4 linked regions of the Arabidopsis thaliana genome follow. The protein of the gene in region 4 interacts with the protein of the main gene of each other region in a pairwise test. Each region holds a gene or a part of one and is shown on either strand. Other genes may lie near its edges. The genes, in order: CRF4, CRF8, CRF5 and AHP4.

What was found.
Region 1: the proteins of AHP4 (region 4) and CRF4 interact in a protein complementation assay, tested with the Arabidopsis thaliana proteins (one study listed by BioGRID).
Region 2: the proteins of AHP4 (region 4) and CRF8 interact in a protein complementation assay, tested with the Arabidopsis thaliana proteins (one study listed by BioGRID).
Region 3: the proteins of AHP4 (region 4) and CRF5 interact in a protein complementation assay, tested with the Arabidopsis thaliana proteins (one study listed by BioGRID).

Annotation. Positions count from the first base shown.
Region 1 is NC_003075.7:13,907,446-13,915,508, forward strand, and holds CRF4 (cytokinin response factor 4), read right to left. Parts: upstream 3,551-8,063; 5' UTR 3,295-3,550; coding exon 2,287-3,294; 3' UTR 2,097-2,286; downstream 1-2,096.
Region 2 is NC_003070.9:26,818,565-26,826,415, reverse strand, and holds CRF8 (Integrase-type DNA-binding superfamily protein), read right to left. Parts: upstream 3,900-7,851; 5' UTR 3,540-3,899; coding exon 3,054-3,539; 3' UTR 2,745-3,053; downstream 1-2,744. Other genes in the region: AT1G71140 (MATE efflux family protein), read right to left, coding at 1-66, 148-386, 470-526, 619-705, 788-1,332, 1,412-1,654; GLIP6 (GDSL-motif lipase/hydrolase 6), read left to right, coding at 3,996-4,242, 4,342-4,481, 4,556-5,021, 5,109-5,344; AT1G71110 (uncharacterized protein), read right to left, coding at 5,564-5,986, 6,072-6,393, 6,488-6,559, 6,655-6,691, 6,794-6,852, 6,945-7,229, 7,321-7,502, 7,581-7,759.
Region 3 is NC_003071.7:19,007,525-19,015,610, reverse strand, and holds CRF5 (cytokinin response factor 5), read right to left. Parts: upstream 4,150-8,086; 5' UTR 3,998-4,149; coding exon 3,113-3,997; 3' UTR 2,593-3,112; downstream 1-2,592. Other genes in the region: AT2G46308 (uncharacterized protein), read left to right, coding at 4,256-4,444; AT2G46300 (Late embryogenesis abundant (LEA) hydroxyproline-rich glycoprotein family), read right to left, coding at 6,364-6,379, 6,477-7,219; AT2G46290 (Transducin/WD40 repeat-like superfamily protein), read left to right, coding at 7,814-7,858, 7,962-8,086.
Region 4 is NC_003074.8:5,550,864-5,559,108, forward strand, and holds AHP4 (HPT phosphotransmitter 4), read left to right. Parts: upstream 1-3,333; 5' UTR 3,334-3,487; coding exon 3,488-3,532; intron 3,533-3,610; exon of another isoform or gene 3,611-3,620; coding exon of another isoform or gene 3,621-3,647; coding exon 3,648-3,778; intron 3,779-3,851; coding exon 3,852-3,920; intron 3,921-4,154; coding exon 4,155-4,226; intron 4,227-4,419; coding exon 4,420-4,492; coding exon of another isoform or gene 4,493-4,504; exon of another isoform or gene 4,505-4,530; intron 4,531-4,607; coding exon 4,608-4,655; 3' UTR 4,656-4,926; downstream 4,927-8,245. Other genes in the region: AT3G16370 (GDSL-like Lipase/Acylhydrolase superfamily protein), read left to right, coding at 6,065-6,308, 6,389-6,519, 6,613-6,846, 6,932-7,187, 7,292-7,488; PAB6 (poly(A) binding protein 6), read right to left, coding at 7,813-8,007, 8,135-8,197. UniProt on the Arabidopsis thaliana protein: Functions as a two-component phosphorelay mediator between cytokinin sensor histidine kinases and response regulators (B-type ARRs). Plays an important role in propagating cytokinin signal transduction through the multistep His-to-Asp phosphorelay.

The sequences.
Region 1 (8,063 bases), on a different chromosome or scaffold from region 4:
TTTCCACGTAAAAATTGTTGACGATGGCATTGACTTTTCTCCGACACTGACCTATTTTGTATTTTCTAATAGATTTCTTCGACCTTTCTATTATTAGTCCTTTCAGATATCAACCGACAAACACTTAATAAAGAAAAGGTTTTGTCAACGTTAAAATAGGAGACTTCTAATACCTTTGATGCATAAAACTAGAACATGATTAAAGAGTTAGAACATAGTTGAGACAAAAAGAAGTAGGAAAAAAAATAGTAACACATCTCAAACAGTAACAACATTTTAACTAATTAATAATGATGTTCTAATTTTAAAATTTTGGCAGCGACCTACAATGCTGCAAACCACTGAGGATTCGATAAATATTTACGCACTACCATAGTGAAGACATTTCTGAATTTGATTTTTTTTTATATTGTCATCTGACAACAATTACTATGTTGGATAAGAGCAAGGAAAAAATATGTAATCTTGCATCTAAAGTTTGTATAACCAAACAAAACACTAAGCTTTAGTATTTCAAACCTTTTTATGCCACTTTGTAAATGAATATTACTTTCTCAGAATTGAGAAACACCTCCAATGTAATTATCTGTTATAGTTTACAAAGAAAAGTTATTATAGAGTCCTCTTGCATACATGTCTACGAAAGGTAAAATTCTTTTTCTATATATACTTCAGTACTCAATAATTTTCAAAATGACTATGGTTTCATTAATCATAACCTTGAAGAAGTCTTTTAGTCCACATTTTCTCCAGAAGAAAGGGACTTGTAGATGTCTATTTTAACAATTTCTTATTGTGTGTACACATAAATCATATATTTAAAACCAAATATATATATATATATGGATTTGACTCCAATATGATTTCAATGAAACCAATCGGGCAAATAGACGGTAGAAGACGAAATCCAGACGACCAATGAAAACGTTAAGCTTTCTGTTTGTTTGTGTATATATTAACTATTTGGTAAAAAAGAAAAACATAAACAAACCACAAATGTGGTCACCAACAAATATGTGTGTATGAATTCAAAACATCGTAATTATAATGGTACAAGTCAACATGTGGAGAGGCGCTTATTTCTTACACTAGTGCAACATTTCGTACTCATTCAACTCCTTACCTAGTAAGTTGTATTATAATTCTCTCATATGAGTTGGGACATAATTATTTCTACCTTTTGCTTCTCCCTTCTGATGTTCGGCATTGGTTATGCTTTTTTTTTTTGGTGGGAGGCATTTGTTATGATTTGGTTGTTAGGAATGTACATTAAAAAAAAAATCTATTGGATTTAATATCTTAAGCACATGAATAATTTATTTACCGTAAACCTTTCTCCTATTTAAATATTTTGATACTATCTCTAAATTGATCCAGCCCTGTACTTATTATTTATATATACACTTTCATCGAAAATTAATCTTCAAGAACGCGGGAAAATATTTTAGCAGTTATGAAAATATTGAAGTTCAGAACACTATCTTTTAAGATTTAAACAAAATTCAATTGTTGAATGAAACCGAAATTTTGAAGTTACGGGCAAATATTTCGTATCTATAAATGGAAGCTATTCTAGTTGGGAGTTCATTGCATTTGAACATTATTCTACATTCACTTAAGGAAATATTACCCTTTTTTGTCTATAAGAAAAAAAGTTATAAGGAAAACCAGAAAGTGACGAATTATTCAAATTGTAATTGATTGAGAATCAGTGTCAACATTAATTTTAAGAAAAATCAAATCTAGTAACAATATATTTTAGTCAAAGTTTAATTCTTAGAAATTTCATATCTGAAAAGGATAGTTTCCAAATTCCAAATTAGTAGTATTATTTACCGCCAGAGTCAGAACACAAAACCCACTTTTGTTTAATAGAGAAAGGCAAAAAGTGCACCGACTGACCCAAAAGCCACTTGCTCCACCGGTCACTACCGTGATTTGCGCCTCCTCGTGTGGTCTCTCTCGCCAAAGAGAATTTTAGTTTCGCTTTTTATAATCAAAACTCGTTTACAAAAAACTTAAACACGTTCGTGCAACTCAAAGAAATTGACAAGAACAAACAACAACAACAATTCTAATAAATTAATTAGTTTATTCTTTTCCCAATATTTCTCCAAAACTGTTTTACAAGCCGACGATAACATTAAATTACTTCTTAACAAAATCACAAAACACCCAAAAAAAAAGAAAAAGAAGAAAAAACAAAATCTTATCACAACTCCATACAAAATTTGACCACACCGGCGATTTTGCAACCAAACCGGTGTTTGGTTAATGGCAAAAATATCACACAAGTAAGAGATCGGATATCAAAGAATCATCAAGATCGTTGAACGATGAACCAATCTCTTTGATCTCGGAGGAGTAGTATTCTTCTGCGTTGCTATCGAATAACATAAGGTCGTTGAAGAAATCATTCTCTGTTGGTTGAATAGGAGACATAGGTTGATCGAAGATGGAGATGTCTGGTAATGATTCATTGAAATAGTTGTCGAGAAATGTAATGTCCAATGGAAATGAATCATCATTAGTATTAGTATTACCTTCTCCAAGATGCCAGCTTATTGGCTCTTGTTCTGGTTCAAGAAACTCTTGTTTAACCGGTTTGATAAGACTATCGATTGGTTCCTCCGAGACATATGTTTGGTAGTTGAGAACCGATGTCGGAGATGATAGATGTTGAGAATCGTCCATTGATTCTGATATCGAAACCGACATGTTGCTCTCCGGTTCTTGTTCTTGTTCTTGTACCGGTTCTGGTTCTGGTTGTACGGTGAAGTTGGTAAGAGCATCAGGGCCACGAAGTTTGATTGCTGCGTTGTCGTAGACGATGGCAGCTTCCTCCGCCGTTGCAAAAGTACCGAGCCAGATTCTCCGGCGTTGCTCAGGATCACGAATCTCCGCCGCCCATTTTCCCCATGGTCGCTGTCTCACGCCGCGGTACTTCTTCTGGTTTTGGCCGGAAACAGAGGGCTTTTGAACCGTAGAATCAACGTTGATTCTTTTCCGGTCCTTCGTCGGAGAAGCAGAGACGTCGCCGGTGGAAGAGCTGCTAGGCTCGACTCTGATCTCGTTAATCAATCTCTTGACACGTCTTCGAGGGAACAGAAACTCTTCCTCGTCGCTTGATGAATCAGTGGCGTCACGATCCGTCATTGAGACCCGAACCAACCTGGCCGAGTCACGAACACTGGTCTTCCTCTCCATAGACGACTTTTTAGTGTACTTTCTGATAACAGTCTTGTGCTCTGTGTACTTCACTGGTCTAAGATCCATAAACTCATCCATCATCATCACCTATTATTTTAAACAGAGAGATTCTGGTGAAAAAAAGAACAGAGATTCTGGTGAAAATTTTCAGAGATTTGGAGAAAGAGAGGAAAAGGGTATATAAAATGAAAGAGAAAGAGAGACTGTTAAGTTTAAAGTGAGAAGATTCAGAAGTCACTGTTAAATCCTACTTTATAGGATCTTTCGGGCTTTAGCCATATTTGGTATATATAAAGTAATAAATAGAATAAAATATTTTTATATTCTTTGCTTTTATTTACTTATTTCCATTTTTTCACTTTTGAAATATCCTCTTTTACCGTGTCACATAAATATACTGTATCAGTTTTACATTTTTACACCGCCTAACACATTTTAAAGTGACAATAAAAAATGTAAAACAACAAAAAAGTCTTTGTAAAAACTATATTATTTGTGAAACATATAAAAAGTAAAAATTTACATGATATTTTGGTAGTCATTATTGATAACGATAAGTAGAAACTATATATTTTAAAAATTGTTAAGTTATCTACTTTTTTTTTTTTTTTTGGTTTTTAAACATTCTCAATTCGTCAATTCGCAGTGATATATTAGCCACAAATTTTGATACAGAGAGGAGTGAATTACTAAACGGGACGCCGCATTCATATAAGCAAATCGCATGATGACACCTGTACAAATGAGATATTTTTCTTCTTTGAGATGACTATCTTTCTGCTGAGTCAGCAGCGCGTGGCTTCTAATCTCGAAATCTACGATGCATATCACGTGACCCCAAGATACCCGGTCCCAGTTTTATTTTAACTGCTTTCATTTTTTGAAAAGATATCTACTATTTTGTTTTTGTTTTTGAAAATGTTTTAGTTACAGACAAATATGTTTTTTATATTATTGAAGATTAAAATATTTTTTAAAAAAATATGATGACTTCACCCAGGTTTGACCGACATCTGTAGCGAATTCGTTTAGCTGTTTCGTCCCATGCATTCATTTCTTATGAACAACCTGTCACGTGATGTGTTTTCCTAAAGTGCTTATTCAACAGTAAATATACTATTTGAGTAAATGCTATATTTATGTTCCAAATGAGTAAATTCCGACCAATGTAAAAAGGGAATCAATCTTTATTTTCCAGTAAGAAAATATATTTGTTTCTGTTATTATATGATTCTATTTTAAGGAAAAACTGTTACAAATTATTCAGTAAAATCCTCTCATTTCCAGTGAGATAAGTAACGTGGCGGGCAACCTAGGATTTGGCGCTAATTTTTTTTTTTTTTCGTTTCAGAGCTTTCATTTTTGAAAATATGAAAATTCAAAAACTTGAACTTACAAAAATTCATCTCTAACCGAGTTCTGATTTAGTTTAGGGTTGAAAAAATCAGTTGAAAATTACAAGTCATTATGAAACCAAAAAAAAAAACACGAGATTTTTTTTTGTCAGGTTAGTCGGACGAGCATCAGAATAGTGCTAACTAGAAGCAGAGAGAGAGGAAGATCGGTTAAGAAAGGTCGTGTGAGAGAAGCCAAGGACGATTTGATTCTGAATATCCAAAGTGGGAAGAAGAGAGAGACATGGAGAATCCTTTGGATTGACAAAAGACAAACCCCGAGGTTTAGTGCAGTGTTCTTGGCCACTGTCCTACATTGAGCCAAGTGACCAATCCACGTATATTTTATATATGCGTCTATTACTATACGAACCATATTATAATACGTACATGTGTGTTACTAAAAACGACAATTAAGTGACTACATTGAAATTTAGACAAACTGTGAATCTTGTTTTAGACTTGGGTTGACCACTTTCTTTTTTGGAGCGATAACAACTTCTCACCAATGACTTTTAATAACGACTGGGTTGAAGTAACAATACCCAACCCAATATTTATAACTTTTTGATATTAACATCTTTTTGTTGCCATTCACCATTAATCGGTGACATGTGACAATAAAAAGAAGATTGCGTTACAGATTTTGTTGAAAGCTAATACAATGTGTCATGTGTGCATATATAACGTGTCCATCTACGGTTATGAACGAAGAATCCAAATAGAAGAAAGAAACGAGACTTGTTGGTAAAAAATAAATTTAAGGACAAAGATCCATTCTTAAAAGAAGGGCCACCCCTCAAAATAGCAAAACGTTGAAAGCTTTATCACCATTAGTTACTTATATAATAATGTGATGTACGTTGGTCTTGGTGCATAGCTTTAAATTAAAAATGAGCTCGAACTTTGATGGACAAATAAAGACTAGAGAAGGTCACCGCTTGAGTAATTACTTCTCATAACCAAGTTTATGATAATATAAATTAACGTGTGAGTTTCGAGTTTTCCCAAGGTAATGTATGTCTTGGAGCAGAAGCTACATGGTCGCGCGACTCGTGAGTACTACTCAAGTCATTCTCGTGGACAGCCTTAGTTTACAAGCAAGAAATGTTGGTCATATATCTAATAAAAATAAAAATAGCTTACATAGATACTTGGAATTTGTTCGCGAACATTAAATTCATCAAAATTTTATAATAAATATATGTAGTACATTATAGGAATATATATGTAAATGTATAGGTAAAAGTAAAACTATAGCTTTTAAAATAGCCTAAATTATTATTGGTTATTGAAAATACACTAAATTGAAATCTAAATGTAACTATTTAAAAATAATTTATCGAAGTTCCATTATAATTATTTTTATTCATATATAAATAACTTTTTTATGTACAATTCAAACTTTTAACAATTATCGTAAAAACATTTATTCATTAATATTCTTTAAAATTACTCTGTAGAAATAAGTGCCCAACCCAATCGATCATTTGAGCTAAGCTCTACCTTACTAGCGTTGATAGGAATAACATGTTAAATGAACCAAAAGGAAACTAAAAGTTAAACCAATTTGTTTAGGATCTGGTGCAAGACAAATTGTCTGGTTCGGAGAGTTTGATTTTCACGGTGAAAATTTCACCGAAACCTTTTAGTACCATGACTCATGGCACATGAATCGTGACTCCTCTTCTTACCTCCACTTGTCTTGACTCTTGAGACCGCTGAAGTGTCCACTGTAATTTTAAGTTTTATTCAACGCAAAAGGTTTTGTTTAAGAGATTTGATTCACGGCAATATTAACATTAGTGACTGGTCATTAATGCCATTTAGTGGAGGCCACCAAAGGTTACGATTCTCTAATTTACTAAAGACAAAACAGGGGATCTCTAAGATCAGGCTGTAACTAAGTTATTTTCTTCAGTTCTAATTTAAATATTTAATAAAAACCTGGCGTTAACCATGCTCTCTTGGGCACGACCTCTCTCTTTATCATAATTAATAAACTTTTTTTTTTTAAGTTATGGAGACTTTGAACATAGATTAAAAGTAGTCCAGTCACTGACAGAGTGACATTGTATAAGTTTTCGGGGGTATTGAAGGGATATTTAGTAAGTAAACCCTTCGGTCGTTAGACATAAAAATTAGAAAATTTATGGTGACTCTTAGAAAGTACTATATTCTGTAATAGAGAACGGTCCATGCTCGAATAGATCGTGTAATGGTTATTTGGGTTGCACTTTAACAAAAACAATGGTTTTAATTTGGGTTGCAACGGGTGTTAGTCTGCCTTTAATTCTGGAAAGCTGATATTCTGATTTCTTACAATAATTTTCGTATTTTTAGTACATGAAACATTGCCGTTGGTGGGTTAATGTAATTGATATATTCTTAGTGGGATTAGACGTGAATCTTTTCTTTTTGTGTAATAGTACTACTCAAATTTGTGAGATAGTTTTTAGAAAATCTGTTGAATCATGTAAAAGGTCGAAACTAGTTGAAAGACAAATGGTAAGATAACTTATAACTCTAGTTTTAACGGCTTTAGCTGGTTGGAAACAGAAAGTTTTACTGCTTTCGTTCTTTCTAATATGTTTAGAGATCATTAAATTTCGTACGTATGAGTATTCATATACGAATATAATTGGTTTATGTAGAAGTGTAGAACACAGTAATGTAGTGTTATGCTGTTAGGTTTTACTATATAAACAATTTCTATTCATGATACTATATACCATGCATACATATCTATTACAATTACAGATTTAACATAGAACTATTATGAAGTAAAAGACAAGATTATTCAATGCAACTGCTAACCCACACTAAGACCATATATGATGCTGAGTTTACATGTGCATCTAGTGACTAGTGGTAGTTTAAATGCTTTAGAAGGAAAAGTATACCATTCGGTTCTAATAGTATAATTTATTTACAAGTTTTATCAGTAGTAGTGCTCGAGTAGTGAAAACACACATTTAAAAACTTATTCGAATGGACTTGGAAGCCTCGGTAAACCCAAAACTCAAAATATATAGAAATACAAGTGTTGGAGTTTCGAGAAAGAAAATAAACTTTGATTTGAATCTTAAGATAAAGAGTTTTAAAGATTAACATGAATTGATCAAGCGTCCACTAGCACTTTCATTAAGCAAAATATGCATTCATAACATTTTTTTTTTATAAATCGTCAACAAACTAACGTGAAATTATAAAATCATAACCTTAATCTCAACATAATAAGCCCTGATTACTGCTTTAAACCTCGCCAACCTCATAAGCTCCCAACCTTAACAACAACATGTGTCCATCGAAGAGGAATCTAATTCGTGGGATAAACATTATGTTAAAATATACTATACTCCATCACTGAAACAGAACCTTGAACACAAAAGTGTCATAATAGTTGGGTTATACCATAAAAAAGTAACCGTTTTTTCAAGGTCTTTATACCATAATGTT
Region 2 (7,851 bases), on a different chromosome or scaffold from region 4:
AGAGATAGTATGCTGCTAGGTTTACGTATGCCCCAATATCTTGCCTCCCTGATCCTCTAGCCACACCTGTTTCAGTAAACACATTTTATAACTCTTAACTTCATTGAATTAGATCTCTTAAAACATTATAGAAGGAGATCATCTAACCCGAGAGAGCTGCGTGAAGGGCATCGAATATGACCGATAAAGAAAGCAGTGGAGCCATTGATTTTACATAGTCTACAACTTCAGTTTCAGAACTGAATAGGTAACCAAATACATTTCTTGCACCAAAGACTATTGCACCCACCATTATTGATTCTACACCTGTTATAACCATCGCTGTGTAAACCGCCATTCGAGCTTGTTTCGGGTTTCCAGCTCCTAACTCGTTTGCAACTCTTGTACTGCAACAACAACAACAACAGAGAGGCGGTTTCAGGTTTTAGATAGATAGCTTTGCAAAATCGAAAGTTGAGTGAGAAAGAACCTTGCTGCTGCACCGAGACTCTCTGGGATTTGGTACAAGGAGGATTGTGTTGAAAGACTGTTAAACAAGAATGAAAGCAACTGATTGGTATGATAATATTCCATTCTAAAACCAAGTCTATAGAAGATAAAAGAAAAATGGAAACAAACCAGACTGAGAGAACAGAGGCTTCTAGCTTCGGATTTGGTAAAATACCAGAGAGCAGGACTAAAAATTCGAATGACCACCACTCAAGGCTAATCCAACAACACCAAAGAGATTCATGTCAACAACTCTATGACTAAAACCAAAAGAGGCATGAAGAGAAGTTTGATATACCAAATCATAGATGCAGATGGGATTCCAAACCGGAAAAACTCTCCCATTCCTTCAAACAAACTCATGGAGATAGTTGCACGGCTCTTGCTACAGCTAGAAGAAAACGTCATGTATAATCCAAGAACAGTCACGTTTAGCCAGTAAGAAACACCGATCGCAATAGCTGCACCGAGGCTTCCAAGACCAAACTTAAAGACCAAGCTCCAACAGAGGACAATGTGGATACAGAGAGAAGAGACTGAACTCATAACCAAAGGCAAAATCAGAGACTGTGCTTGGAAAAACCGAACAAGCGGCTGCAAAGTAGCGTAACCAAAGAGCGCGGGTATGAGCCAAGTTGCAAACTTCCCAGCTTCTTGAGCAACCATAGCATCTTGTCCAATAAGAGAAAGTATATCACCAATGTATGTCCAGAGAAGAGAGAGAGGAATACACACAAGAAACAAAGAGACAATTCCTGTGTAAGTATGAACACCAAGCTTCTCATATTGCTTAGCTCCATTAGCTTGACCACATAAAGTTTCCAACGCACTAGCCAATCCAAACTGTGTGATTACCACAACCACAATTTAGAATCTTAAGCTAATAAAAATGAAAAAGAGAAAGATCAAGAAAGAGACATACAACGACGCTGAAACCGGTGACGCTGCAGAAAGAAACAGCAATGGCGGTGCTAGAGAGGAAAAGCTCACCGAGATGACCAACCATCATTATAGATATCACCTGAAGAACATACATAGACGAGTTCACTGCAATCATCGGACCGGCGATGTAACTAAGTTTCTTCGTTTCCCGCAAAAACCCATCTTTCTTGTTTACTTCTTCTCTGTCGCTCACAACAAGCAAGCCCTTCTCCGCCGAATCCATTCTCTCTTCTTCTTCCCCTGAGATTTGTTGTTTCAATCTAATACTTTAACCTCTTTCTCCGAATCAACCCTATACTTTATATACTAATATTATATGATATCTTCTGTGGAATTTATAGCGGCGTGTCGTATATTGATTCTACACCTCGAGATACAGATACATGCGTCGTCCTCTCTTATTCAGCCGCCATAAATTCTCTCTCGATCTAAATAATGGCACTTGATTATAGCAAATTAAGAAAAGTCTTTGTTAAAAAAAAAAAACTTTACATGCAAATCACCAAAGTACTATACAATAATGCGTTGAAATATTATAATCTTAACTTGTTTAATTAGTCAAGCGGTCTGTTAAAAATTTAATTAATTACAATGTTGATTCATTGATTCATTTTGAATATAAGTATGTTACTTCCTCATAAAGGTATCAAAACGAATCAAAAACAAAATTTTCTCTGTTTTGTTTTTTTATTCATTTTGATATCAAAAATCTTCCTCTTTAAGGTATCAAAAGATTTGTTCAAAAAAGAAAAATCTTCTTGTTTATCATGTGAAGTTTGTGAACCAATCAAAATTTATCTTCAGATCCTTTTTTTTTTCAATTTCATAATCGTAAGTCAAAAGAAAATATCTGTTTGCTTTTTTTCTAACGCACTTGTGTTTCCTCAAACTTATTATTTTTAAACTCATGTGCACGTACATGTAAACATTCATTTCCTCTCTTTTTCTTTTTTTTCTTGTCAAAACATTCATTTCCTCTTTAGTCACTACTATTATCGAAAACATTCATTTCCTCTTTAGTCATTACTATTATAGTATTATAGAAGATCATATATATCATGTGTATGATGAAGTCTCTTGGTTTAGCTGATCTCTTCATGTTCTTTATTACTTTCTTTATCTCCAAACCCCTCACCCATGGCCATCAGTCTTCAACAAGTCAAAGTAAATTGATAAATTCAGTATTTTTCATTAGACACCCCAAAGTATAAAAATGTATCGTTGATACGGTGATACAAGAACCAAAAGATGGAAAGATATATAAAGAATTTTCAACTTTTCATCAACCATCAAAATATAACTCTGATCCAAGTCATTAACGTTCAATTTGGTTAGAGTTCTGTTCTATTATGTGTTGATCCATAAATGGTAAAAAGATTGAATAGTATACAAATAAAAAGAGCCTATTTCAACCCAAACTTTTCTTTCCTAAACGTTTTAAAAATTCAAAAAAATTTGTACCTTAAAATTTGTGTGTAAATCAAAATATAGTTCATTTCTCGAGTTTCATATATATACATAGACGAAAGACATCAAGATCATACACAACATCAGAAGATGAATTTACAAAATACGAGAGAGACCTTCTTGCTAATGCTAACAACTAAATTACCAACCCCACTTCACGCGCCTCTAGCAACCTCAGAAGCTCCAATCACCGTCTTATCCTCTTGATTCTCCGCCGGCAAACCAAAATTGGTCGGCGCGTGAGGTCCAATCAGCTTAATTGAAGCGTTATCATAAGCTAGAGCAGCTTCCTCAGCAGTGTTAAAAGTACCCAGCCAGAGACGATCACGTCGTCCTTTACAAGCTCCTCTTCCACATCTGATCTCCGCCACCCACTTCCCCCACGGCCTCTGCCTCACTCCACGATATTTCTTCTCCGTTTTCGCCGTCTTGAGAAATTCCGCCGGGATCCTGATTTTGAACCGTGTTTTGCAGACATCGAGTTTATCGGCGGAATCGGAAGGATCGATTACGATCTCTTTAACGAGGCGTTTCCCACGGCGCCGAGTCTGGGATGCTCCTCCACGCTCCTCCGTGTCTTCGTCGCTAGAAGAATCGGTGGCTTCTGCGTCGGTGAATGAGATTCTGATAATACGCTTCATAGTGAATTTGCGGAAATTAGGGTTCCGTCTTCGTCTCCATTAAAAGGAAAGCATTTGAGAGAAAGAATATGTTTTTATTCTTTCAGAATCTCTTTTTCTGATGCTTTTCATCTTTACTTATTTACTTCTCTATTTTTTTCTAACCAATCCTATGTGGGCCGTATGGGCCTCAGAGCTGAAAATGCAGTAAAATCCATGAAATTTCTCAACATGGCTTGAAGCCCATCTTCTAAAGGAAAAAACGCTTTACTCTTTTTTCCTTCATCTATGTAATAAGAAGCAGAAATTTAGGAATAAGTTTGAAACTTTAATCACACATAAGAGTAAGTGCAAAAACATGAACAATGTTCTTGCCTTCCGTGTCAATTTTGTATATATATATATATATATATATATATATATATATGTGTGTCAGTATATAATCTCCTTTTATATGATTATAAACTCATTTGTCCCATGTCTTCTTCTTCTTCAATGGACTTACTCATGTGTCTGCTTCTTCTAATCTCTCCGGTTGTTCTGGCCAAGTCTTCTTCCACCGTCCCTGCTATCTTTACCTTCGGTGACTCTATTTTTGACGCCGGAAACAACCATTACAACAAAAACTGTACCGCTCAGGCTGATTTTCCTCCTTATGGTTCTTCCTTTTTCCACCGTCCTACTGGGAGGTTCACCAACGGAAGAACCGTCGCTGACTTCATCTGTAACAAATTACCTCCCAACTCGTTAACTAAAACATTTCTTCTTCTGCAAGGAACCTTACTTTTGTCTCTTTTTTCTTTTCTTGACGCAATAATTGCAGCGGAATTTGTAGGCCTTCCATTACAGAAACCATTCTTGGAATTGCAGATTCAAATCTTGAATGGAACTTCAAACTTTTCAAATGGCATTAACTTTGCTAGTGCTGGTAGTGGTCTCTTGCTTGATACCAACAAATTTATGGTAAATATCTACCTTGACCAAATAAAATGTTTGTTTCTTGTGAATCACTCATTAAGTACACATATCAAATGTAGGGCGTGACACCGATCCAAACCCAGCTACAGCAATTCCAGACACTTGTAGAGCAAAACCTTATCGAAAAATCTATAATCCAAGAGTCTCTCTTCTTATTAGAAACTGGTTCTAACGACATCTTCAACTACTTCCTCCCATTCCGAGCTCCTACACTTTCTCCAGACGCTTATGTGAACGCAATGTTAGACCAAGTGAACAAAACGATTGATCAGATCTACAAACTAGGCGCACGCCGCATCGCTTTCTTCTCCTTAGGTCCTGTAGGTTGTGTCCCTGCAAGAGCCATGCTTCCTAATGCCCCAACCAATAAATGCTTTGGTAAGATGAATGTTATGGCCAAGATGTATAATAAAAGACTTGAAGATATAGTGAACATAATCCCCACTAAGTACCCTGGAGCCATTGCGGTGTTTGGAGCTGTATATGGTATCACTCACAGATTTCAAACCTACCCTGCCCGTTACGGTAAACTCAATATAGTTAATTAACTTCCATCTTTGAGATCTTTTTCAAATGTGTCTATGAGAAAGCTGAATCATGTTTTTGGTGAAGGGTTTTCGGATGTTTCAAACGCGTGTTGTGGGAACGGTACACTGGGAGGATTGATGCAGTGTGGAAGAGAAGGATACAAGATTTGCAATAACCCAAATGAGTTTCTGTTTTGGGATTTTTATCATCCCACAGAACACACTTACCGTCTCATGTCAAAAGCTTTATGGAATGGAAACAAAAACCATATCAGACCATTTAATCTCATGGCTCTTGCCACCAACAAGATCACATTTTAATACTTATATCTCCCTTGTATATAGAATTCATAATGAGTTTGTATCTGAATTAAGACTCGAAATCATTGTGAAAACAAAAGCCAGAAAGTGAAACTTCGCTCCACTTCTGGTCTCTTCTTCCTCTTCTACTGTAACATGAACGCTACAAAATGTTTTTATTGTTCTCTTTCATATCATTATGAAATACAATATCTGATTCTATCTAACTATACCTCTATACTATACGCATTCTACAGAAAGCTTAGGTTCGTCATCTGAGTGATGAGTATCCAAGCCGTTACCAAAGCTATCATCTTTTCTTTGAGGGTGTGGATCCGCAAACACTTCCTCCCTTTGGGGGCGGTTCGCATAGAATATCCATAGCACCAGACATAGTAAGACTCCTACGGAGATCAGTCCGAGTCCTGCGTTCACAATCCTCAGATTACGTACTAACGGTGGACAGTAATCTGAGGTAATACTCATAAATGTTTCCCTAACAAAGTTGCAATCTCGGAAGCTAAGCAATGGAGGCGTGTAATGCTCTAGAGCGTAGCTCTCATTCACAGCTGCTACCAACTGTCCAAAGGTATCTGGCGTTACTCTCCCCACGGTGGTGCAGATTCCAGATGGTGTAACCTCGCATTTGTAATTCTCCCAGACCTGAAAAGAGAAGTTTAGTAAGACATGTCTCAGACCTGGTGGTGTTTTGTTCAAGATATACAAAGATAGGTGAGTAGGAAAGTACCGATGATGCATTTTCTATTGATAGTTCCCAAGGCGAGCACTGGCGATCTTCCATGTTTGCATCAAATGGGATGCATAAAGGAGGCATCGGAGGTCCAGACTGGTTGTAATAGCGGTCTTGACCTGGAGCTGGGTTTGTATTGGCAACAGCATAGACAAAGGTGTTTACAACGGTCACGATGCTGTTGATAACAACTTTACTCTGTGAAAGAGTCTGGTTTGTTGTTTGCTGATCAACGCATGGGAGAATGCTGCTGAGAGCTGTTTCTGCGTGAGGATTATCAACCCATTCCTTCATTGCTACACACGTATCAGAAATTGCACTGGACACCAAAACAATGACATTTAGTTGACTACATTTGCGAGTCTACTTAATAAGGCAAGAGAAAACAAACATTCAGAACAGCAAAATCTTACTTGTTTAGGATCAGAAAGACTCCACAAAGAACAAATGTCACAGCCACAAGTATCCACCCACTCACGACGAATCTATCATTATATACATCCCCATCAGTCAGCTTTCAATTTATTTTAAACCACTATAAATTAACGAAAATGAAGAAGTTGGGGATTAAAAGGCTCACATATGAACAACATGTTGGTGGCGGAGGACAGAAAGCACTGTAATAACGCAAATAACAGATAAAAAGTTGAAGTCAAGTGGATGTCACAGCTAATAAAAAGGAGATACCAAAGAAGCATATACACATCAACTGGACTTACATAGACCTACAAAAGAAAGGATGAGCATCACAGTAGCGACCGTGATCAAAGCTGATCGCCTGAAAATGTACATATACAGAGTTATATCAACACTGTCTTCCCTGTTAATCATAAATTGGTACCACTCAGCTAACAGTACAGGGCAACTTACACAGCATAGAAAACTCTCTTAATTTTAGCAGCGTTATCTGTTGTTGTCTCTCCCAGTGTTACAGCTGCAGTGTTAAGATTGACATTTAACTTGTCAATTTCACCCATTACATCAGACGGAATGACAATCTGTGTCACGTTAATCGTTTTCGCAAGGGACAGATATTGAGTCACATTCTGGAGGATCTCCACAGTGTAGTCTGACTGGTTTACAACATACTTAAGAGTATGCATAGCTTCGGTATGAAACTTATCTTGTCCAACAGATAAAAGAATGCATCCCACCCTGAAAAAAAAAAACCAGTGCAATCTCAGGAACAACAAATTTCAAATGACAGAGAACCAAAAAACAATGTAGAAGAGTTGAGGAATATTACGCTGCAACACATGTAAACACAATCAACAAAATGAAACAGATTCTTCGTGTATCGAATGATGATCCTTTAGCTTTATCACATATTCTCCATTTGAAGCAATGATAAACAACAAGAAGAGAGCCAAAAGACAAGAGCCAGATAACAGCTAGTATGAAACCAGGAGCACCTGTAAATCCAACAGACTGCAAATAGATGTTCATTACTAACAGATCCTGTAACTAATAAAATCGGAGATGACAAAGAAGAGGAGAGGGACTTACAGCCCAATAGTGATTATTGGTGATGTTCCAGCCACCATGGTAAGGCTTAAAAGCTCTAAGAATGTCAGGTCTCTTGGTTCTATGAGCTGCTAAGAGGAGGTAATCAGAGACAACATCATCAGATTCAGGTCCTGGTGCTAATGAGATTCCACCTTTCCATGTTCCAAAATTCGGTGAACCTGATTTTGTAGCAAAACCAAAATTACATAATCAGAATTCAAACTTCATAACAATTCTATAAGCTTGCTTAATACTACCAGGAAGCAAACTA
Region 3 (8,086 bases), on a different chromosome or scaffold from region 4:
TTTTAAGGCTTGAAGACCAAATTTAATATTTTGTGACCAAAGATTACGATTTTTATAATTGGAAAAGAATCAGTTCATCAACGTGTGAGGAGGGTCTTATATGTTTGTGAAGACAAGAATGAGAACCACCAAGCTGGCGAGATCAGTAGTAATAAGTGTTATCTTTATATTGACCCAGTTTCACCATTAGCATTTCACCAACCAGGGTACTACCACCTAACACTATTATTGTTAATGTTATTAGGGAAAACACATAATGGGATTTGGCATACTAAAGACCAGCCATTCATCATTGATGACAACAACAAGAATAGCTAATATATATTGATAAAATTTCCCATTTTTCATGCTGGGTATGTTTGAATTTATATGAGTCATTATATTGACAAACAATAACTATTTGTAACAATTATGTTTGAATTTTTTTAAAAGCATTCTTCCACATAGAGACATAATGTTATATGTGAACAAGTTGGGGGAAACAAAACTTTTGCTTTTATTCTTTGTTCTTTGCCTTGTTGCCTAAATTGACAACACTGCCAAAGCATGGATGACAAACCTTTATTTACCAAAATTGATGTAGTTCGTTACCATTACTTAACCAGCTTTGTATTTGCAAGATAACCGGAGTTAAACCGGGTCATATCGAATTGATACACAAAGTGTAAAAGCGTTTTAAGAAGGGTTCACTTAAAGATCTTATGGGACCCATAACAATCTCATTGGTACAGAGGCAACTTGTCTCACCTCTCAATTTGATTTGGGCCAACCTCTGTCTGATAAAGACATTTCCTTTTGCAACGTGGTTTGCTACATGGGCTTAGACCCACTTTTTTTTGTTTCCAGTCATCTACTGAGATATTACAAATTAAAAGTCTTTTAAATTTTACTGCCAAAAACTATTGGTTGATATGTTTTACAATTTCTAAAAATTTTGTTCGACTTCATTTAAAAACTTTGTTTACAGAGCATTTCCTACCACACGCATTAGATGACTGCATTAAAAGGTCGATTCTTCTTTTTAATTTTAATGCATTTGCATGTCTTAATCAAGTAGATCTTAGAATATCAATATCTTGTTTTTGCTTTGTTAAATCTTCATTGTGATTCTATGCGGCTAGTGGTCCATTTTTGTCACACTCATGAGCATGGGATTAATATGTTTTTTGAAAACAAACAAACTTTAATTTTTTCAAAATATTTTCATTTTTATGGTTTGTTCGGATAAATGATCTAACATGCAGGAGGATAACAGAATTGCCTCTCTCTTTTTGGTGCAACCATCATCTTAGGAAAAATGCATTATACTAAAAATCACAACCTTTTTTTTATTGGGTGTGTTTTGACCATTCAACCACGAAAATCAAAGGTTTCAGTTTGTATTGTTGTTAAAATTTCTGATAGAGGAATGGGGAGCGCTCTGCTTCTGAACGAGAAAGAGGGTTTCAGGGCAGAGTAGTCACACACTTCGGGAAGCCAAAAACGGTCTGGTCCAATTTTAAAAACACGAAAGAGACAAATCTACTCAATTGGTCAAATTAAACCTCGAACGGACCAATACTGTTGTTATTGCTGTTTTTGGTGAATGGTCCTTTTTTTTTATTTCTAAAACATCACAGACTTCAGACTTCTTTCTCTTCTACTACAATTTATTCTCTTACGTATTTATTTATTTTGATGGTCATTTTTACTTCATTCACTTCACAATTGCATAAAGAAAGTAAAGATTTTGAAGAAAACAAACGTAGTTAGTAGAAGAGTAAGAAAAGTCTACAATCAAATTTAAAACATTTCCAAAAGTAGACAGAGAGTGACAGATTGAAACCCATGTGAATAAATAAATGACAATTCCATAAGACGTTTTTGTGTAATAGTATTAGGTAACGTCATAATCGAAAGATTGACAGATTAGAAAGTAAATAATTAAAAATGTTTATAATGGGGGGGACTAAGGTCAACGACAAGATCATGAGAAGTCTTCTTCTTCATTGGAAAACTCTTTCCTTTAAATCTCCAATTTGCCAAAGCAGAGCCTGTGGTGGTCTTTGACAGAAAGACATCTAAGTTCATGTCCCAATACATTGTCTTTCTCTTCTCCTCACTCTTTCATTGTTTTTTTTTTGTTCTTCTCATGTTGTCTCCCATTGAATATATATCAACTCAATACATAATTCACATCCACAACCATGTACACTACAGTATTTCTCCTTAAAAAAAGATGTAAACCTAACTTTGTATAGTTTCGTTTTGCTGTTTGTATTGAATCAAATGAACTGTTTTGCGTAGACATGGACCAAATTTTGAACACAAGAAGGAAAAAAAAAAGAGGTGTAGTAATTGAATGTCTTTGAAATTGAGAAGGTTGTTAAAGTGGAGACAATGTGTAGGGTAATAGATGATTCAATGAGTTGGTTCTTCACATTAATGGGCATTGTTGCTCTGACACTTAGTGCCAAAAGAGAAGAAGAAGAAAAACACAACAAGATACTCTTTAGATGTAAATAATTCGTCTTTTGACTATATGTATATTTTAAAATTAGATAGTTGATTTGGTCTTAATCCATATAGTTAGGATCTTACGATATTTTCCCTGCTTTTTTGGCTTATTAAAACGATTTACATGTTTAGGGGGAGAAGAATGTGATTAGATGTTTTTATGTACAATAAAAATGACAAGTCACATAAACCCCACTTGATAGAGAGATTCATGCGAAGGAAACAAAAGACAAAGATTTGCACTAAATAAATACTTTTATCAATATTAATAATAAAATATATATACGGTCTTTATACTGCTTCCTTGCATAGTGACAGACTTGGAGAGAAACCAAACAAAAACCTCCCAAAATCCCCAATATTCAAAACCCCTCCCTAATTAACTTAAACTCTCACAATCTTAACACTAATTACTATATTTACTCGCAAATTAAATTATAAAATTCTCAAACAGATAAATAAAAACTCCGTTGCGCTTCTTCCGCTGATCGGAGCCGTCCACGAAATGGAAAACGGACGGCTAAGATTCATCCCCGTCGTTGTCATCAAACCACTCATCTCACTCACACAACCAAAAAGAGAAACCCAGAAAAATTCTGGGGAAGAACTCATCAAATTACTTATCCAACAAATGATCTTGGAAAAACTCATCAACATCCCATGAGCTGAAATCTCCGATCACTCCCAACGGAAAACTATCAGACAGATTCGTATCCTTATCACACACTGTGTTGTTGTTGTTGATGTTTGGTAACAAGGACTGGTGGAATTCGTCGAGAAACAAAGGGTCAGGGGTAATTTCGGAATCCCAAAAATAATCTCCGGAGCGAAACAAATCAGGCAAGAAAAACGGATTTTGTTCTTCCGTTGGCTCTGTTCTGTACTCTGTTTCGTCGTTGTGACTAAACCGGAGAACAGAAGTCGGAGAACACAGACTGATTTGCGATTCCCTCGCCGAATCACAACCAGAGACAGTTTCAAGGTCAATCACCGGAGTTTCCGGTAACACCTCAGTCGTCGGACTAGGAGGAGGAGTGAGAAAATTCGTCTGAGCGTTATGACCTTTGATTCGAATCGCGGCTCTATCGTAACCTATAGCAGCTTCCTCCGCCGTCGCAAAAGTCCCAAGCCAGAGTCTAGTACGACTCGAAGGATCACGAATCTCCGCCGCAAATTTTCCCCAAGGTCGTTGTCTCACTCCTCTATACTTCACCACAGACTTTACCAAATCTCCACCGTTCTCCGCCGCAGCCGCCGGGGACTTTTTCTTCGCTTTCCTCGCCGGTTTAGGTTCGTCATCTTCGTCACAGAACCTGATCTCATCCACATAACGTTTCACCCTCGGAGCAACAGATTTGTTGTCGTTTTCCTCATCGCTGGAAGAATCAGTAGCGCATGGGTCAGTGACTATGATTTTGACAATCTTCGGGAAACCGTCGAACGGTGTGGATGTGATTTTCCGGTGAACCGTGTACTTGGATTTTCTCACTCGGCTTTTCATTTCTCTTTTAGTTAACCGGAGAAGAAGATAGAGATATAGAGAGAGAGCCTGAAAAAAAGTAGAAGAGAGAAAGAAGAGTCAAAAAGGCTATCTATGAAGGAAGAAGAAAACGCCGTTTCTTAGTAACAATCCCTTTGTTAAATATAGTCACGCCCCCCCCTCATTTATTCCTTTTTCCCATTTTTCAAAAATATTATTATTTCCTTTTGTGTTTTTGGCTTTTTCTTACTTTCCTTCTTGATTTTCGAAATTATCGTTATGGAATTTCCGAGATTTAGCCGTATCATAATTATGTTTTCTGTTAATGAAAATTTAAGTAAGGCAATTAAGAGAGAGATTAGTGGGCGCTTCAAACGACTAGCCGCTTCTCCGATTTTTGACACGTGGATTATTTCGGTATTCAAGAGCTTCGGTTTTGGTTCACTCTATAGCTTGGTTTACAAGTAACTTTGACTATTGTTGTACCATGACACGCGCCTATATGTGTTCGTGAAGGTCATGCGCGCTAATGAGAAGAAATGGGCGGGCCTTCTCTCACGTGAGACTGGTCACAGTACTGTCACTCACTCCTTTTGACCCACTATGATAATTATGAATTTTATGGTAATGATGTAATCGGAATGTTTTTAAAGTTTTTGTGAAAGATCATTGATTGTTATTATTTATCTCCTCTTGATTTGAATTAAGAATGTTTTTATTTTGGGAAATTATGATCTGTTTGCTTGGAGATCAAGTGATTGCAGACATTATATATTTTGTTTCCTTATACTAATATTAATCAGCTTTGAAACTGGACACTAAAAAGGAAAAAAAAAACAAATTTTGGATAATTTTTCTCAATATCTTTTGTTTTGGCACTTTATCATGAGAAATAAAAAATATTTACCACAAATTTATAGTGGTATTGGATCATCTGATATAATAAAAGTCATAAACTAGAAAGACAAAAAAATAATATAGACTCAATTTCTCTTTATTTGTTACTGAATTTCTGACCAGGTCAGGTTATTGTGTATATTTTTATGGGGATCTAGGTGGATTCATTTTCTTTGGTAAGTTGTTGTAAAAGAATCTGGGGTCATAATATATACCAAGTCTTTCGAAGCAGTTTCGGAAGATAATCAATTCAAATAATTAAGAGATTCGTAGCGGGAAATAAATAAGGAATACTATAATCAAAAATTAATTTATATAGTATGTGGCGTGCATTAACATGCATTAATCTATTAATAGAAAGAAACAAAAGATATGAAACAAAAGAGAAATTGGACTTATCTTATTAGGGCCACATGAACAACCTTGAAGACAAAGCGATAACAAAAGAAATTGCCACGATATGCGTTGGACGTTGAGGCATGAGATTTATTTGTTGTAACCTAATTATTATTTGCTTTTTGGTTATACTACGAGGTATGAGTTGGTGTAGGTAGGAAACGAGATGGTCTTTGTATTATCGTCTACATGTTTTTCTCTCTGTTTTATTATTGCATTTAGTTGAAGGGAATAAACATCGTGAACAATTTACTTCACATTTGAAGCAGTTCATGCATCATATAAATAAACAAGATAAAAACAGTGATCGACTCTCTTCTCCGACATTTGATCTAGACATCCATTTTTATCCTAATCGTTTCTGTATAGCGAGAATTTTGCAGAAACCTGCAGTCGTACGATAGATAATACCAAAAATAGTACATTCTCAACTAGACTGTACATCTAAAATATTATCTATCATTTTTACAAATCACATTGAATGACAGATACAGCTATCTCTCTGTAGTGATACACATGAGGAAAAACAGATTAACTGATATAATGGAATTTTGTTATTTTTGGACTTCTTATCCTAATTCTGAAAAACAAGCCATTTTTTTCGAATTCCACATTTCCACTTGACATTTTACCAATTTAGGCCCCCAAAAATGGCACACCATTTCGATATCTATATTTTTGTTTACGAAACATTTCAGCCCATATACTTTACGGGCCCATTAGTGTCTAAAGATTCATACGCCACCTGAACAATATTTTCCCACCACCATTACACAAACATGTCGAAAATATTCTTAACATAAAAATCACCACATTACATTATGTTTACTGCCCAAATAATAACCCACATAAAATATTACACACAAAATAATCTATCTCACACAAAATAATAATAAAACAAACACTCGCTAAATATGCCCCCCTCAGTGAATTTGATCAAATACCCCAAAAATAAAATTAATAACATGTGTGGAGTATAAAACACGAAAAAATAAAATTACAAAAGAAAGAAGATAACATATCTACAGTAAAGTTACAAGTATACAGATGTTAGATCATCGTGTTTTTCCAAATCCTCGAATCCTTCCGTCTTGTTACTGTATAGTTACCCTGCAACGTAATAATTAATAATCTCATATAAAAGTTTAGAAATTTTGGATGTAATTAACATCAAAAACCAAAATCCTAATTACTGATAATTTTGTACCATTTGAGTGTATTGAGAATGCATTTAGGTGAATCAGTATCAAGCTTGTTCAAGCTAACGCCACCGCATCTCAAATTAACGGCGAGCATTCCGATCTTAATACCGCCGACACCTAATCCAACTTTAGTCTTGGCAACAACGTTAATGACCAAATCTTTGCTCTGAAATTTCGCAGCGAGTCTCTTAGCCAATCCTCTCTCCACGAGCTGATTCTTCACCGTCGTCTCCACTTTCACGCTCGTCGAGTTTTTGGGACCTTGTCGGAATCCATTCATCGTCGTCTCTCCCATCCCGGTCTCATCGTTTCCCGAACCAACGCTCAAATCAACGGCAGTGTTTCCGTAGTAAAAAACGAGTTTCGAGTTCGGATTCTTCATCTCAACGCGGGCAACGGCGGTGGCGGAGAGAGACGCGCCGTCGGGATCGTCGGCGAGTTTGAAGCCGTCGAGACGGAAGGAAGCGAGGCTGAAAGTGGGAAGCTTAGGATCGAACCAGAGGTAGAAAACAGCTGTTCCGACCAAGAGGAGGAAGATGAAGAGAACAAGAGTAATGCAGATGCAACAGCAACAGAAACGACAACAGCTTCTACGTTTTTTCTTTGGTCGGTAAGAAGTAGGCATAGGGACGGCTTTTCTCATAGGTTGTTGTTGAATGGGAGGTGGAGGAGGAGGAGGAGAGGACATGTTTGGATCTCTGTAACCTGGTGGCTTTTGAAGAACCGGGTTCATCTGATAATCTGCCATCTTTTTTCTCTTAATTATTCACCTCTCTGACGATCTCCTGATAAATCGTATCAAGGAAGATCAAAACGAAATCTTCAAAATGGAGAGAGAGATGCTATGATGATGATGATTGCAGGCAAACTTGGTTTCTAAGAGATTTTGAGTTTTTGGAAGAGAGAGAGAGAGAAGAGAATGTTTTTTTGTGTTGCGTTGTCTCTTCTCTCTCGTTAATGGAAGAAGGCTGAGACGTGAGGAAGGGATTTCGTTTTAGGCCCGAGACTCACGCGCGCCGTTTTTGTTGCTGACGTGTTCCCTCTTTTTTCTCTTCTTCCTACATTCATTGAAATATTCAAATTTCAGTTATTAGATTAGTCGATTAATTTATAACTGATAATCATATTGAGTTTGATACATCCAAAGTGGCATGGGCCTACAGATTAGATGTTTAGGCCAGGTGGACTCTGTTTCGAGCCCATTACTGCCACGTGGCTCTATTCGGAGTTATTTACCAATGGTACGCTCACCGGTTTAACGATTCACCACTTAAAGCCCTCAAAATCTCAGAGAACGCTCGCTGATCAAATCCGTCGTCCTTCAACCGTCGCCTCCTCCGTCATGACAATTGAGTGCGTTAATCCCGAAGGTCTTCGATTCAACCAAGTATGTGCACATATCTCTTCCTCCGTTTGGTCATGTACTTGTTTCCGATTAATGTATTATCTTTTGTTCTTTCTATTGAATTGATTTCGTATCTGTTTGCAAGATGAAAAGCTCCTCTCATCAAACCCTAGAAACGAGGATGAGGCCGATTTTGATGAAGGGACATGAACGTCCATTGACGTTCCTGAGGTACAACAGAAATGGTGATCTGCTTTTCTCCTGCGCCAA
Region 4 (8,245 bases):
TAATCTATCTTGAATACTCACTAACGTAATCTAAGTAAGCCAGCTATGATAGCTTAGAGTTCTAACCACACTCAAATGATATAAAGTTTCCCAATGAGTTATAAGAACAATGCCAAAATGGTATTCCTAAAAGGATTCATCACTTAATCTTTTAATATGTTTCAAACCCTTTAATAAAATGGTCAAACGTCTTTATGATGGTCTCTTGTCACCAGTTTTGTTTGTCAAATAGTAGTGGAATTTGTTTTCCATGGTTGTGCAGCCTCATCTGTAACAACTAACAAACACGAATTCAAAATTCTTCACAATGACCATTATGTTTGTACCAATCACATTTATACTCAAAAGAATTATTGCTATTGTTCTGTTTCAACTCTCAACCACGACAACTACTCAAAACTTGATAGTATTTTCTAGTTGGGATGAGTAAATGAAATTGTATATTAACATGATATGTCGGAAGACGGTTCCCTATGATTTAATGTAAAACTCGGGTCTATATTTTTATTTTACTTTTATGATTATGATTAGTCGTTATCGGCCGATTTATTTGTTATTTAACAATTTGTTTAGGATTATAGCTTTTTCGGATTGGGAGGAATCATGTTCATAATATCGCGGAGGTGTAATTATTCACGAAAGTGATAGAGGATAAAAATAAATTTGTTTAGCATATACTTTATTTAACGGGTGATAGATGATTGAAGTTACATCTTTCAAATAATTGGATATTATTGAATTTATATTAATAGTTGAGAAGAATGTTTTTAATTGAGTAATCAACACAATTAAAAGAATTAAAAATCTGTTTGTGTGTCGACATTTGAACTTTTAAGGAGTCATCTTCAATCACGAACCAGTCAACATTGTGCCCTTTATACGAAATACTTAGTTCAATTAGGTGCTAATAGCTACTTCTAATAACTTTAGTAGCACAAATTCTGGCATCATGTATATCCAACAAAAAATCTCAAGATAACTTTCCGAAGAATATCTATCATTTAAAAATAAACTTTCTCTAAACATGTATTAATCTTCCAATCATAGGAATTAATAGTGGAACAAGCTAGCCTTCTAAAGTATTACAAGACTGATTTTGTCTTGAATATGAATATAAGTTATATTACAAACTAGCCTATAGTCTAGCAATTTCCTAATAATATATGAAAACTAAATCTCTACATATTTTCTCCCTTCGAATTAATTAGTCATTTGTACCAGAGGCAGAGATGATAGTTACGAGTTCATAATAATTAAGAGTTAAGACTATATATAGCCTTAAAGCTTAGAAATATACAAAAGATCATAAGAACAAAAAATAATTTTCTTTTATAAAATTAAGATCACATATATATATAAAGGAATAATTGGATTGTGTAACACATATACAACAAAATTTAGATAAATGTCATGAATTTTGTCCTCTTTTATTAGAATTTTATCTTGTATAATACTAAAAGGTAAACATAATAACATTTGATTTAAATACAAAATTGGGGTTTATCATGTAAAACCAACCTCACAAGTTTTGGAATGAATTGTTTTGTTTCTTCTAATTTTGTGGTATTACATATTTGTTATTAGAGGGGAGGTCGGAATTAAGGAGAATAATCGAGATGAGACAGCAAGCAATAATAAAACTTAGATTCTAAACCCACTTCCACCGAAAATATGTAGTAGACAAGTCCTTTATGTGAGATTGGTTTGGTGGGCGGAGGAATAAATAAAGCTGATTTTTTTTTGTATATGATCAATCTCTCTCTCTTCTGTAATTCGATCTCACGATGCTTGTCTGAGAGAGAAAGAGATATAGAAAGGAACAAATTATGCTGTAATGATAAAAAGATCTTTTATGTCTTTGTGTCAATCATTTAGATCACACTTGTTATGTGCTCTTCAGTTTTTCCTTTTTAGATACTTGTTCCTTGTTTCCAATAACAGAAATTTATGGTTTATTTTTTACTCGTTGGATATATGTATACCTTATTCTCTCTCTCTCTCTTTTTGGTTTCCTACTTCTTTCTTTTTTTGTTACAATATAGAAGTAGGAAACACACGCATCCGCACAAGTACTAGCCTTTCCTTGGCACACAACACCCTCTCACCTCCACACATTAATGGAAGAAACTTGGAAAAGATTTGCATCTAATTTTTCAATGTTTGTTGCAGCGGTCAAAGAGAAAGAAAACACATCAAACAGAAAACCCCAATAGAAATCTATTTATTTCTGGTCTTGATCATGATACTAACCTTGACTATGTTTTTAATATAAAAATGTCGTTTAATGTTTATCACAAGATATAATCCTTACTTAGTAATTGAATTCCGGACCCCAAACTAAAATACTTCGAATTAGTATTGCTTTCTGTTGTTGAAACAAAAGATAAGCAATAATAGTGTTTGCTAGTGTGCTAGATTCCAACAATTTTTTCTTCCAAAAGTACAACTTTTTTTTGCCCATTTCGTAAATTCATATGTACATATATAGTTGAATGTTGTGGGTGTACGTAATTGGTACCATTAAAATCAGGAAATCACAACCTTAAAAATAACAAAAAAAAAAAGAAAAAAGAAAAGACAATGATATTATAGAAAACTTTGTGAAAACATGAATTAAATTCAGTAATTAATCAAGACGGAAATGGTCTGTTCAGAATATTTTTCTTGAACTGTATACTTTTTCAATCTATAACTTTCTTTTTCACTTTCAGGAAAATTCGTGTCCACATACATTTTACTAGTATATATTTGCCTCATTTCCAAAGGTGTGTTTCGTATAGTATCAACGTTTAGCTTTTAGGTTCTATATTCGAAATTTTACATGTTTCTATGATGTACGTATATATATAATATTAGTCGTATTCCCATTCGTGAGATCCTTTGATTACTTATTAATTAAGATGCATTTCAGTTATATTTTTGGGCAATAGATCAATCATCCACAGTAGTTTAAGTTTCATAATGGACCATACTATTAATTAAACAATCAACATTGAGGAATTCTCTAATTGAAATCTCTTATTCAAAACTTTAACATAAACACTATCTTATATATATAAAAGATTACTATACATTCAAACTTATATATCAACACACATATATGATCATTTGATAACACCTACCATTTGTGTTATACATATATTTTATAGAGAAGTTATAGAAAATTATACTGAGTATACATCTATGTGTCATCGAAATAAGCTGATAATAACGAATACACGTTTTCTTTTTATGTCTGGAGTAGAATACAGCATTCATGCCCTTACGTTGCAGGTTCCCATCATTTTACAAATATTCTCTTCTCTTTTCTACTTTCTCTTTTTTGATGTAATACGATCTATTTATTTATTCTATATTTCACTATATATATCTCAGATGTCCAACGTTTCAGTATTGCATTGCCACTCGAATTACCTAAGATAAAAACGAATTATCACTTTGATTTTTCGCACTTATAGTTAAATCTATTCTCAAAATTTAAACAAACATGCAGAGGCAAGTGGCACTCATCAAGCAGTCCCTCTTTGATCAGGTTTTGGTCGTTTGTTTCTTCGTATTTTCGTAATATAACTTCGTACGTCGTACCACTTATATATGAATTTCTTCATATAATTTAGAAAATGACTAATATAGGAAAATGCATGCAGGGATATCTCGACGAACAATTCATGGAGTTAGAAGAGCTCCAAGATGATGCAAACCCTAATTTTGTTGAAGAAGTTTCCGCATTATACTTCAAAGATTCAGCTCGGTTAATCAATAACATTGACCAAGCTTTGTGAGTATTATTTTGTTTTCTATTATATATATATTTTTTTTTTTTCAGTTTTCTAATCATTTTTACAATGCAGGGAAAGAGGATCATTTGATTTCAATCGGCTGGATAGTTACATGCATCAGTTTAAGGGAAGCAGCACGAGGTAATTTCCCCCCTTAGTTTTTGACTATTCTAATTACGCCTTCAAGAAATAATTTTACTTAAAGAAATGCGAATACTTAAATGTTTATAAGATAAAAGAATGTAACGCAAAAGTACATTAAAATTACTTCCATTCTCATTCAGGATTCAATGACAGAATCTACTTTAACCAGAAATAATTAGATTTTATGATCGTTAGTTATACTGACAAATGTTGCATTTCTTTTTTTTGTAGCATTGGGGCAAGTAAAGTGAAAGCTGAATGCACTACGTTTAGGGAATACTGCAGAGCTGGAAATGCGGAAGGGTACTTTCGTCTTTATACTTATATACCTTCATGCTTCTCGTTTTTAACAGAAAACTAAGTAACGGGGTCAAAATGAAAATAAGTATAGTTTAGATGGCTAAAATTGCTGCAATTAATCCGCTGAACCTTGAACTTTTACTTTACTTCATTTTCGACCCCCTAATTAGTTTTCTTCGCTTTTTCTTACTTGCAGATGCTTGAGGACTTTCCAGCAACTGAAGAAAGAACACTCAACGTTGAGAAAGAAGCTTGAACATTATTTCCAGGCGAGCCAATAATCAATTATGCTTAATAATTTACATAATTAGAATGTGATTAGAAGTTATCATCAATCACTTTTGATATAGTATTTGCTGAAGTGAAATTTTTTGTAATGAACAGTTGGCAAGGCAGGCGGGGCCTAAGGAGACAGCACGTAGGCCCAAGTAAGAGAGAAAGAGAGAGAGACAGAGATAAATGAGGAATCGTCGTCGAATTTTGTAGCAAAACTATATAATAAATAGTTCCTCTTTATTTTTATATATTTCGATGTACGTTATAAAGAAGGTTTTGGACTTTTATATTATGTCCGTTAATAAACGGTCCAAATGTCTCTATGTTTTTCCCCTTATATCGCCAAATTTTCCCTTGGGAGTTTTATAGCTACGATTACCTCGTAACATATGGCTTCCTCTAATAACGGAATACAGAAAAGAGTGGACCAAAAAAATGCATTTTTTCGATTCTATGATGAATGCATTACCTTGTTTACAAAAGGAAAAAAAAAAGAAACTAAGCTTTACATTATTCGGTTTGTTTCCAGGAACCGTGTCCAAATCCTAAATATTCTTACCTATTTTTATATCATTATGTTAATATTTGTCTCTACTAGTACTGATTAATAAATATTTAAAAAAGAAAAAAAAAACCAAAATATTCTTAGGTAAAAGTCTAAAATAACATTATCATTATGTTACTATTTGTCTCTACTAAAACTAATTATTAAAAAAAAAAGAATGCCATGGCTTAGATGCAAACTATTCTTAGCTAAAAGTCTAAAATAATAACATTATCATAAACAATTAATATTACACTTTTCCATCTAATTTCTCTTACATGCCCTATTTTTCAAACGATGTCGTTTAAGAATATCACATAGACCTTCTATTTCATGAAAAAACTAACTCACCAATGCAAATAAATAAATCAAATGTTTGTTTGTGGATAAAGTAAAACGTTTTCTTTCAATGGCCCAGCATTTACTAAAATTTATTTCAAGTTCTTCCACGTAAAGTCTACACTACATACACTCATACAGGCAGTGTAACGCTGATTCGTAGAGCTGGAGAGTATCACAACAATAAATTTCTCTTCCGAAAGAAAACAGCCTAATATTAGGGAGATATTTACATACTCTATAAGATGTTCTTTAATCTCTTATATATATTACATATGAAAGAATTAATTGTTTAATTATTATCCAAAGCGACGTGAAACCACTCTCATTTATTAGCCCTAGCTATATCTCACAACCTCCATCTTCCTTACTTTAAAAACACAGACCAGATCCTATTTATAGCATCCATGTGCGCCATTGAAAGGTAAATTTATTTAATAAAGTTTACCTATAATATCAAATTATGCAAAACACAGGCTGGTTCAGTTTTTTCCACGAATCAAAAATGGTTGGAGAAATATTGAATAAGAGAGAGAGAGAGAGAGAGAGAGATAGAGTTTCAGAGTTGACACAACATTGAAGTAAACTAAACTCCTAACCTCTTTATCTATGTGTATATATAAAACTCAAAAGTACATATAATCTTCACCATTCACACATAGTCACATACCAAAGCAAAAACATGGATCGTTGCACGTCGTCGTTTTTGCTTCTCACATTGGTCTCTACCTTGTCCATTCTCCAAATCTCCTTTGCTCAACTTGTTCCAGCAATCATGACATTCGGTGACTCTGTAGTTGATGTCGGCAACAACAACTATCTTCCGACCCTTTTCAGAGCTGATTATCCTCCTTATGGCCGTGATTTCGCTAACCACAAAGCCACCGGTCGTTTCTGCAACGGCAAATTAGCCACTGATATAACTGGTAAAAGGTTTTACTTGTTACTCAAGTTATATTTTTAAGTTTGTTTGACACTGAAGTCTTTGTGTTTGTTTTTGTTACAGCTGAGACTTTAGGCTTCACTAAGTACCCACCAGCTTATCTAAGTCCTGAAGCTTCTGGTAAGAATCTTCTCATTGGTGCTAATTTCGCTTCTGCAGCTTCAGGTTATGATGACAAAGCTGCTCTTCTCAATGTAAGTAGTGACGGTTCTTTGTTCTGATACATTTCTTCTTTGATCTGTTTCTTTTTTTTGTTTTGGTTCTGATCTTAGTTCTTTTTTTGGCAGCACGCGATCCCGTTGTATCAGCAAGTAGAGTATTTCAAGGAATACAAGAGCAAGCTAATAAAAATTGCAGGAAGCAAAAAAGCTGATTCGATCATAAAGGGAGCAATCTGTCTCTTAAGTGCAGGAAGCAGTGATTTTGTTCAAAACTACTATGTGAATCCTCTGCTTTACAAAGTTTACACTGTTGATGCATACGGATCTTTCCTTATCGATAACTTCTCTACATTTATCAAGGTAAAGAATTTTCCTTGGTTATCCTCTGTTCTGAATAGAGAAAAAGAAAGATGAGACATTTTGAGTTTTTGATTGACTGTTGCAGCAAGTGTATGCGGTTGGAGCAAGGAAGATCGGTGTGACATCTCTGCCTCCAACAGGATGTCTTCCCGCTGCAAGAACCCTTTTCGGTTTCCATGAAAAAGGCTGTGTTTCAAGACTCAACACAGATGCTCAAAACTTTAACAAGAAGCTTAACGCTGCTGCTTCAAAGCTTCAGAAGCAATATTCCGATCTTAAGATTGTTGTCTTCGACATCTACTCTCCACTTTATGATCTTGTTCAGAACCCTTCCAAATCCGGTAAGTCCTCAAAATGGACTGATATATATAGTTTGTTATAACATTTATTGGTGCTGATCTGCTTTAGATAATCCATGACACATTCATCTTTTTGTCTATAACAGGATTCACGGAAGCAACCAAAGGATGTTGTGGAACAGGAACAGTCGAGACAACTTCACTCTTGTGCAACCCGAAATCGTTTGGGACATGCTCCAATGCTACTCAGTATGTGTTCTGGGACAGTGTGCATCCTTCTGAAGCTGCCAATGAGATTCTTGCCACTGCCCTAATTGGACAGGGCTTTTCTCTCCTCGGTTGATCTCACGTATTTTTCTTATATTCTCTTTTCAAATCGCTGTTTCTATCACACATTGAGTCATACATTTGTTTTTCTTTGAATTATGTATCAAAGCATCACTGTTTTACTAAAAATGTATTGAAACTTATTACAAGTACTAAACCAAGAGTTGAGAACACTTAGTACCAGAAACTATATACAACCATCTCCCTGTGTGATCAAAAGATCTACATATACCATTGCTATGAGGAAAACCTAATGAAGTGTTAAAATGAACAGCGTAGAATTCTAAGCAGTGAGAAATCTCCAGCCAGAGCAGCAGGGCCAAAGTTTAAGAAGCTTCAATCATTGCAATTGTTTTCCTGATTCCTCTACCTTCACTTCTGGTGACAACTTTCCTGACAAAGTCAATCTTCGTTCTTCTTTACGGTTCTCCTCAGATGTTGTTGCTTTGGAGCATGTTGCAGCCTCTAAATTTCTGTTAACCTCACCCTTAAAAACCAGTGTCTGTTTAGCACCCCTCTTGGCAACGGGATAAGCCTGCAAAAATATATCAACTTAGAGATGAAAACTCTCAACTGATGAAACATTTCGAACTAATTCAACATAAAAACCATGGAGATAATGAAAGATTCAACATTATGTAATTGTCAATGAAGGCATATACCGGATGTTTGTAGACCAGATGCATTGATCTTCTCTCCTTGAGAGGCACTTTCCCAGCTGGAACCTGAGTTATAATAATAGGAAGTATGAGTGACATTTAATGCAAAAGACA